2 linked regions of the Xenopus tropicalis genome follow. The protein of the gene in region 2 interacts with the protein of the main gene of each other region in a pairwise test. Links are inferred from orthologs where the notes say so. Each region holds a gene or a part of one and is shown on either strand. Other genes may lie near its edges.

Evidence for each region.
Region 1: the proteins of mad1l1 (region 2) and rnf8 interact in binary tests that used the Homo sapiens proteins (3 or more experiments, as listed by UniProt). The two-hybrid records come from large-scale screens. The link is inferred for Xenopus tropicalis from reciprocal best matches to the Homo sapiens genes MAD1L1 and RNF8.

What each region holds. Positions count from the first base shown.
Region 1 is NC_030681.2:2,805,281-2,808,618, reverse strand, and holds part of rnf8 (E3 ubiquitin-protein ligase RNF8), read right to left. Parts: coding exon of another isoform or gene 3,056-3,338; coding exon 3,007-3,055; intron 1,649-3,006; coding exon 1,583-1,648; intron 1,498-1,582; coding exon 1,408-1,497; intron 528-1,407; coding exon 420-527; intron 245-419; coding exon 40-244; coding exon of another isoform or gene 33-39; intron 1-32. UniProt on the Homo sapiens protein: E3 ubiquitin-protein ligase that plays a key role in DNA damage signaling via 2 distinct roles: by mediating the 'Lys-63'-linked ubiquitination of histones H2A and H2AX and promoting the recruitment of DNA repair proteins at double-strand breaks (DSBs) sites, and by catalyzing 'Lys-48'-linked ubiquitination to remove target proteins from DNA damage sites.
Region 2 is NC_030685.2:31,029,717-31,033,532, forward strand, and holds part of mad1l1 (mitotic spindle assembly checkpoint protein MAD1), read right to left. Parts: intron 3,351-3,816; coding exon 3,171-3,350; intron 2,454-3,170; coding exon 2,329-2,453; intron 1-2,328. UniProt on the Homo sapiens protein: Component of the spindle-assembly checkpoint that prevents the onset of anaphase until all chromosomes are properly aligned at the metaphase plate.

The sequences.
Region 1 (3,338 bases), on a different chromosome or scaffold from region 2:
ATAATGAGACGCTTCCCTACGGGGTCACCCACCTCTCACCTTTGCGCTCCAATATCAGGGCGGCCCGCCGGTTCTTCATCTCGGGGCTCAGCTTGGCCACCATACTGTCGATGCAGTTGTCCAGCACGAGGGAGCGCGTCTCCGACAGGATCTCCTGGCGACAGATAGGACACTCCTCCTTGCGCTTCCGCCATGACTTGATGCAGTAGGAGCAGAAGCTGTGGGCGCAGTTCAACGTCACCGCCTGGGGGGGCAGATGTGAGAGCCCCATTATAGCAGCTGACTCAGGGGCAGCACTCACACTCACACACAGAGTGAATACCGACTCTGGGATACAGTGCCTGAGAGTGAGTGGGCCCCTGTAGGTAACCGACGTATCAGTATACGGGGCCCCAGGGGGCGGGGCTACAAGCTCTTACCTCAATAAAATGCTCCGAGCAGATGATGCACTGAAGCTCATTATCCAGAACGTCGTTCATATGGTTCAGTACCTCCTCCTTCTGGGCCCGAACCTTCTCCTTCTCCTCCTGCAACAAACCCAACAGAACCATCAGAACCTCCAGCCCAACGGCAGCTCCCTAGTAACGCTAAGTACCTTACTCATATTGCTGTCAGCCCCCCAGATCCACTCAGCGCCCCCCAGATCCACTCAGCCCCTCACTCACACTCCAGGGAGTAACTGCCCTATACACTCAGCCCCTCACTCACACTCCAGGGAGCGACTGCCCTATACACTCAGCCCCTCACTCACACTCCAGGGAGCGACTGCCCTATACACTCAGCCCCTCACTCACACTCCAGGGAGCGACTGCCCTATACACTCAGCCCCTCACTCACACTCCAGGGAGCGACTGCCCTATACACTCAGCCCCTCACTCACACTCCAGGGAGCGACTGCCCTATACACTCAGCCCCTCACTCACACTCCAGGGAGCGACTGCCCTATACACTCAGCCCCTCACTCACACTCCAGGGAGCGACTGCCCTATACACTCAGCCCCTCACTCACACTCCAGGGAGCGACTGCCCTATACACTCAGCCCCTCACTCACACTCCAGGAAGCGACTGCCCTATACACTCAGCCCCTCACTCACACTCCAGGGAGCGACTGCCCTATACACTCAGCCCCTCACTCACACTCCAGGGAGCGACTGCCCTATACACTCAGCCCCTCACTCACACTCCAGGGAGCGACTGCCCTATACACTCAGCCCCTCACTCACACTCCAGGGAGCAACTGCCCTATACACTCAGCCCCTCACTCACACTCCAGGGAGCGACTGCCCTATACACTCAGCTCCTCACTCACACTCCAGGGAGCGACTGCCCTATACACTCAGCCCCTCACTCACACTCCAGGGAGCGACTGCCCTATACACTCAGCCCCTCACTCACACTCATGGTACCTTGGTTTCCTGCAGTTCTTTATTCTTCGCCTGAATAATCTGCTCGAAGTCATTCTTGTTGCGGTTCAGTTCCTGCATCAGTTGCGTGTGCTACAGGGAGACGGAGGGTGTCACTCACTGCCCCCCAGTAACCCCGCCCCCGCCCATAATGGCACAGTCACCCCCCTGCCAGTACCTCCTGCAGCGCCTGCGCCAACTGCTCCTTCAAATGCTCCTCCTCCTCCGCGCGCTTCCGACCCCCCTGCAAGAGAAAACATGGCTGCTATTGGCCGCAGACACAGAACAGAGGTAGCCCCACCCAGAAGCTCCAATGGGAGGGGACAGATACAGAACAGAAGTAGCCCCACCCAGCAGCTCCAATGGGAGGAGACAGACACAGAACAGAGGTAGCCCCACCCAGCAGCTCCAATGGGAGGGGACAGATACAGAACAGAAGTAGCCCCACCCAGCAGCTCCAATGGGAGGGGACAGGCACAGAACAGAGGTAGCCCCACCCAGCAGCTCCAATGGGAGGAGACAGGCACAGAACAGAGGTAGCCCCTCCCAGCAGCTCCAATGGGAGGAGACAGACACAGAACAGAGGTAGCCCCTCCCAGCAGCTCCAATGGGAGGAGACAGACACAGAACAGAGGTAGCCCCACCCAGTAGCTCCAATGGGAGGGGACAGGCACAGAACAGAGGTAGCCCCTCCCAGCAGCTCCAATGGGAGGAGACAGACACAGAACAGAGGTAGCCCCACCCAGTAGCTCCAATGGGAGGAGACAGATACAGAACAGAGGTAGCCCCTCCCAGCAGCTCCAATGGGAGGAGACAGACACAGAACAGAGGTAGCCCCACCCAGTAGCTCCAATGGGAGGAGACAGACACAGAACAGAGGTAGCCCCTCCCAGCAGCTCCAATGGGAGGAGACAGACACAGAACAGAGGTAGCCCCTCCCAGCAGCTCCAATGGGAGGAGACAGACACAGAACAGAGGTAGCCCCACCCAGCAGCTCCAATGGGAGGGGACAGGCACAGAACAGAGGTAGCCCCTCCCAGCAGCTCCAATGGGAGGAGACAGACACAGAACAGAGGTAGCCCCTCCCAGCAGCTCCGATGGGAGGGGACAGGCACAGAACAGAGGTAGCCCCACCCAGCAGCTCCAATGGGAGGGGACAGGCACAGAACAGAGGTAGCCCCACCCAGCAGCTCCAATGGGAGGGGACAGGCACACAACAGAGGTAGCCCCACCCAGTAGCTCCAATGGGAGGGGACAGGCACACAACAGAGGTAGCCCCACCCAGTAGCTCCAATGGGAGGGGACAGGCACAGAACAGAGGTAGCCCCACCCAGTAGCTCCAATGGGAGGGGACAGGCACAGAACAGAGGTAGCCCCACCCAGTAGCTCCAATGGGAGGGGACAGGCACAGAACAGAGGTAGCCCCACCCAGTAGCTCCAATGGGAGGAGACAGGTTCAGAGATGGGGGTCAGTTTCCCTTTAAAGAGCGCCATATTGACTTGTACTGGGAGGGAGAGAATAAAAAAAGGGGGTGGGGACTCTCCGCCCAAGGGCCGGGTCAGGGGCCCCAGTGATGGCAGCCATTGAGGCCTTGGGCTCACCATGTTGTGCTGTTCCTGCTGGAATATCTGCTTGAGTTCCTTCACGCTCTGCAGATGCTGCTCCTGCTCATTGCTCAGTTGGTTGCGCAGCTCCTGCAGCTCCTTCTGCACCGCAAGGACACAGTTGGGGCCCCGCTGGCTCTCGGGGGGGCAGTTCAGCCTCTCCTGCACCTCCATCTGTTTCTCCTGCACTTGCACATTCAGCCGGCGGATCTCCTCCATAGTTTGCCGGACCCGGGAGAGCTGCAGGCTGCTGCGGCACTGGCGCTGGGTGGGGGCCACCGCATCGGCATCCAGAGAGTCATTGAGTTCAGGCTCCACCCCAGGGAGCG
Region 2 (3,816 bases):
AAAACACTCTAAAGTTTCCCATTTTGCTAGAAAAGTGCAGCTCAGGCTATACAGGTATAGGACCTGTTATCCAGAATGCTCGGGACCTGGGGCTTTCCAGATAAGGGATCTTTCTGTAATTTGGATCTCCATACCTTATGTCTACTAAAAAATCATTTAAACATTATTTAAACCCAATAGGACTGTTCTGCCTCCAATAAGGGGTAATTGTATCTCAGTTGGGATCAAGTAGAGTTACTGTTTTATTATTACAGAGAAAAAGGAAATTTTAAATTTAAAAAAGTAAAGTAGAATTATATTCTTATAATGGAGTCTATGGGAGATGGTCTTTCCATAATACGGAACTTTCTGGATAACGGGTTTCCAGATAAGGGATCCCATACCTGTACTACATCAGATATATCAAATTGACAAAAAAAACATCTTGATGGCCATACGCTGAAAAGGTTGCCAGTGGATTTTTCCCCAATATGCGTGGGCAATATCAGATTTATCGGTTTTGCCCTTGGATGAAGGCTGTCGGGGCAAAGATTACCATCAAACCAATACACTCCTTCTGCCCATAGGATTTTGAAACCTGCTTGATCAACATCTGGCCGATTTTCTGCCAGATATCAGTCGGGTGGGCCAGTCGGAGAGCTCCATACATGCGTTGATTAGCTGTTGACACTGCCTGTCGGCAGCTTTTATCAGCCCCTGTATGGCCACCTTAATTTCCAAAAAACATCCTTTTCTTAGGCACACAGTAAGTGAACCAACATGGGCCTGTTAGCAGTACCACCTAGAGGACTTGCTGGCCCACATGCTCTGAGCATACTAGACTGTATAAAGATTCCACACGATAAAATGGTATTTTGCAGATTGGGCCACAAACAGGTGACAAATTTTATTATAATGATACTACCCTAAATGCCATTGCTTATGGTTAACTCTGAGGCTAAGATTAGAAATTAACTGTGGGACGATCTTTGTTTTGCAAATTTGCAATTTGAATTAAGTTTTACAATTAGCAAGATGTGACTACTCTTGCACTTGTAGCATGGTCCAAAAGTGAAACAACTAATTAGAAAGCCACATATAAAATTGCACCCATTTCCTGTCTACTCAAGCCATAAATCTTTAAAAAGTCTAGGAGAATATATACAACCCACTTGATTTAATCATGCAAAGTGAAAATAATCACCCTTGTGTAGAACCATTTTAATCCACTTAAACAGAAAACCAGAGATGATTTATTGCCAAGGCACTTGTGAATGCAGTTAACACTGAACTGCAGAGGAAAGAGGCAATAAAGTCCAATGCCTACATGCCCTCAGGCTCTTCGCTGTTTATTGATAAGGGGTGATGCAAATTAAAGTAATGCATTTCTACGTTGAGATAGAGTTCTACACACTCCAGTGATAGATCAGTTGCGGCTATAACTTACATACCTTCTTTACAAGCAAGGGTTATCTTCCATTTACTGTAACAAAGCCATAAGTCATTGCTCCCGTTTAGTATTATACGTATGCCTGCGTGGGAGTTGGCATATTGCTTTACCTACGTATAGGTAAATACAACAACCATCATCTTGAAATCACCACCTAGTGGTTATGTGAAGCCTAAATCTGAATTCAGGAAGGCTGAAAGCTTGACACAATCTCTGTGTATAAACTCAGAGCTGTCACCGCCCCCCCCCCCATTCTTCATTTCCCAGGGTGCCACAGCCATGTGACTTATGCTCTGATAGACTTCAGTCACACTTTAGTGCAGTTGATTCTCTCACATAATCAATATTGCGATGATTTGACCAGTGAAGCTTGAGGTTCCTAAATACAATTTAACAAGATACACAGTCCTTACTAGGAATAAGTATTAGAATCTATGTCAATCTATGTCATTTCAGGAATGTAATATGCTTTTTTTCACATTGCAGCCTTTCTATTGTACAAATTGATAGATATGTTCTTTATACTCGATACTAACACAGTGATGACACATGTATTCTCTCTCCCTAATAACATAAAGCATTCATATCCATCTAATGGGCCAGTGAAGTAAATACTAGCATACACATAGGGGCATGGCCCCTATTGTCCAGAATACTTGGAACCTGCCTTTTTTTTTTTTTTTTTTTTTTTAAATATAAAGAGACCTTCTGTAATGCAGAGCTACATGCCCTTAAGGCTACTAACAAACATTTAAAAGTTAAAGCGTCCAATAGTATTGTAAGTTACTGATAAAAAGCATATCTTGCTAACTGCTTTTCAGAGTACAGAAGCATCAGGTTTAGGCAATGCAGAGTGCCAAATCCTCAGCCCTAAGGAAAGAGATGGTTCCTACACTTACTTGCGATGGATTTCCAGCTGCTCTGTCATCTCCTGCTTCTCAGTCTCCTGGGTCTTTATTTGCATTTCTTGGTTCATTATCTTCCACTGAAGCTCAGTTGCTTTTCCTTTTAACACACTGATGTTCTGGGATAAATGAGAGGATAGAAAGGAAAGTGAAGCCAAAAAAACAATGTGCCTGGAGTTATGCATTCTACATTAGAGATAATAAATACTAGGCTTAAGCTACAACTCCCAGCATCTTCAGCTAGGCAATAAATAACTGGAGGTTGTTAAAGGGGTTGTTCAGTTTTAAATTCACTTTTAGCATGTGATGCTGAGTGTGATTCCTGCAGAGAGTTGCAGTTGGTATTAGTGGCAATTCTCCAGTTTGGAATTTCTGCAGCTATCTGGTTGCTAGGGTCCAAATTACACAAAAAGGGGGTGGTGGGAGCATTCCAAGTAAAATATACAAGTACATGGAAGTGCAACTAATCTAACCAAATTAACTACAATCATACTAAAGAGAGAGGGTATCGATCAATGCACATTCCCTAGTCTAAACTGCCATTGCAGCCAGACAGTGGTTTGAATAAGAGACTGGAATATGAATAGGATAGGGCCTGAATAGAAAGATAAGTCATAAAAAGTAGCAATAAATGTGTGGCCTCCTTAAAGGACCACCCTATGTTCTCCCCCCCCTCCAAATCATGACCAGGTTACAGATATAGGAAAACGTTGCTGTTTCAGTGATACATAGGTTCAAGTGCATCTAGGGAAGTAAATAAGTGTTTAGCTCCAAATCTCACATCTTCATGGAAGATTTAGGATTGGGTGAATTCGGTGCAACTCTAGACTTAATACCTCATTTAATTCAGACAGTTTGTCCTCTTTCTCCAGCAGCTTCTTGCTTTGAGCCTCTATGGTTTTCTTGTAGGATTTGATCATTTCATTCTGCTCTTGAAGTTTGTTCTGAAAATCATTCTCCCTTTCCTCTAGAGCCTTGATGCGGGTGATGAGCTCCTGGTTCCTGTCTGCTTCCCGCTTTGAAATGAAAAAATAAATAAATAAACCAACTCTTAACAAAAAATATAGGGTTTCTTTGTTTTTGGTTAATGGCCATCAGTTAAAAAATGACAAGCATAGAGGCATTGCAGTGAAACTGCAGTGTGTATAATATATAGCCTATACCCTTGTAAAAGAACTTATTTTGCTAACTGTACAAACCTTCCTTTTCTTTCCTGCAAACTGTCACAATAAAGTTCCCTTGTCCCATTAGTTACAAAGGACTGAAGACACATTATACCAGGGACCCACAACCTTTTTACTTGTGAGCCACACTCAGATGTGTTGGGGAGCCACACAAGCATGAAAATCCTTCTTTGGGGGTGCAAAATAAGGGCTGTGATTGGCTATTTTGTAGCCCCATGTGGACTGCTAGTCTGCAGGAGGCTCTGCTTGGAGTAAAACTTTCTGTGCTTACAAAACTTGCCGCCAAGACAGAAATTTA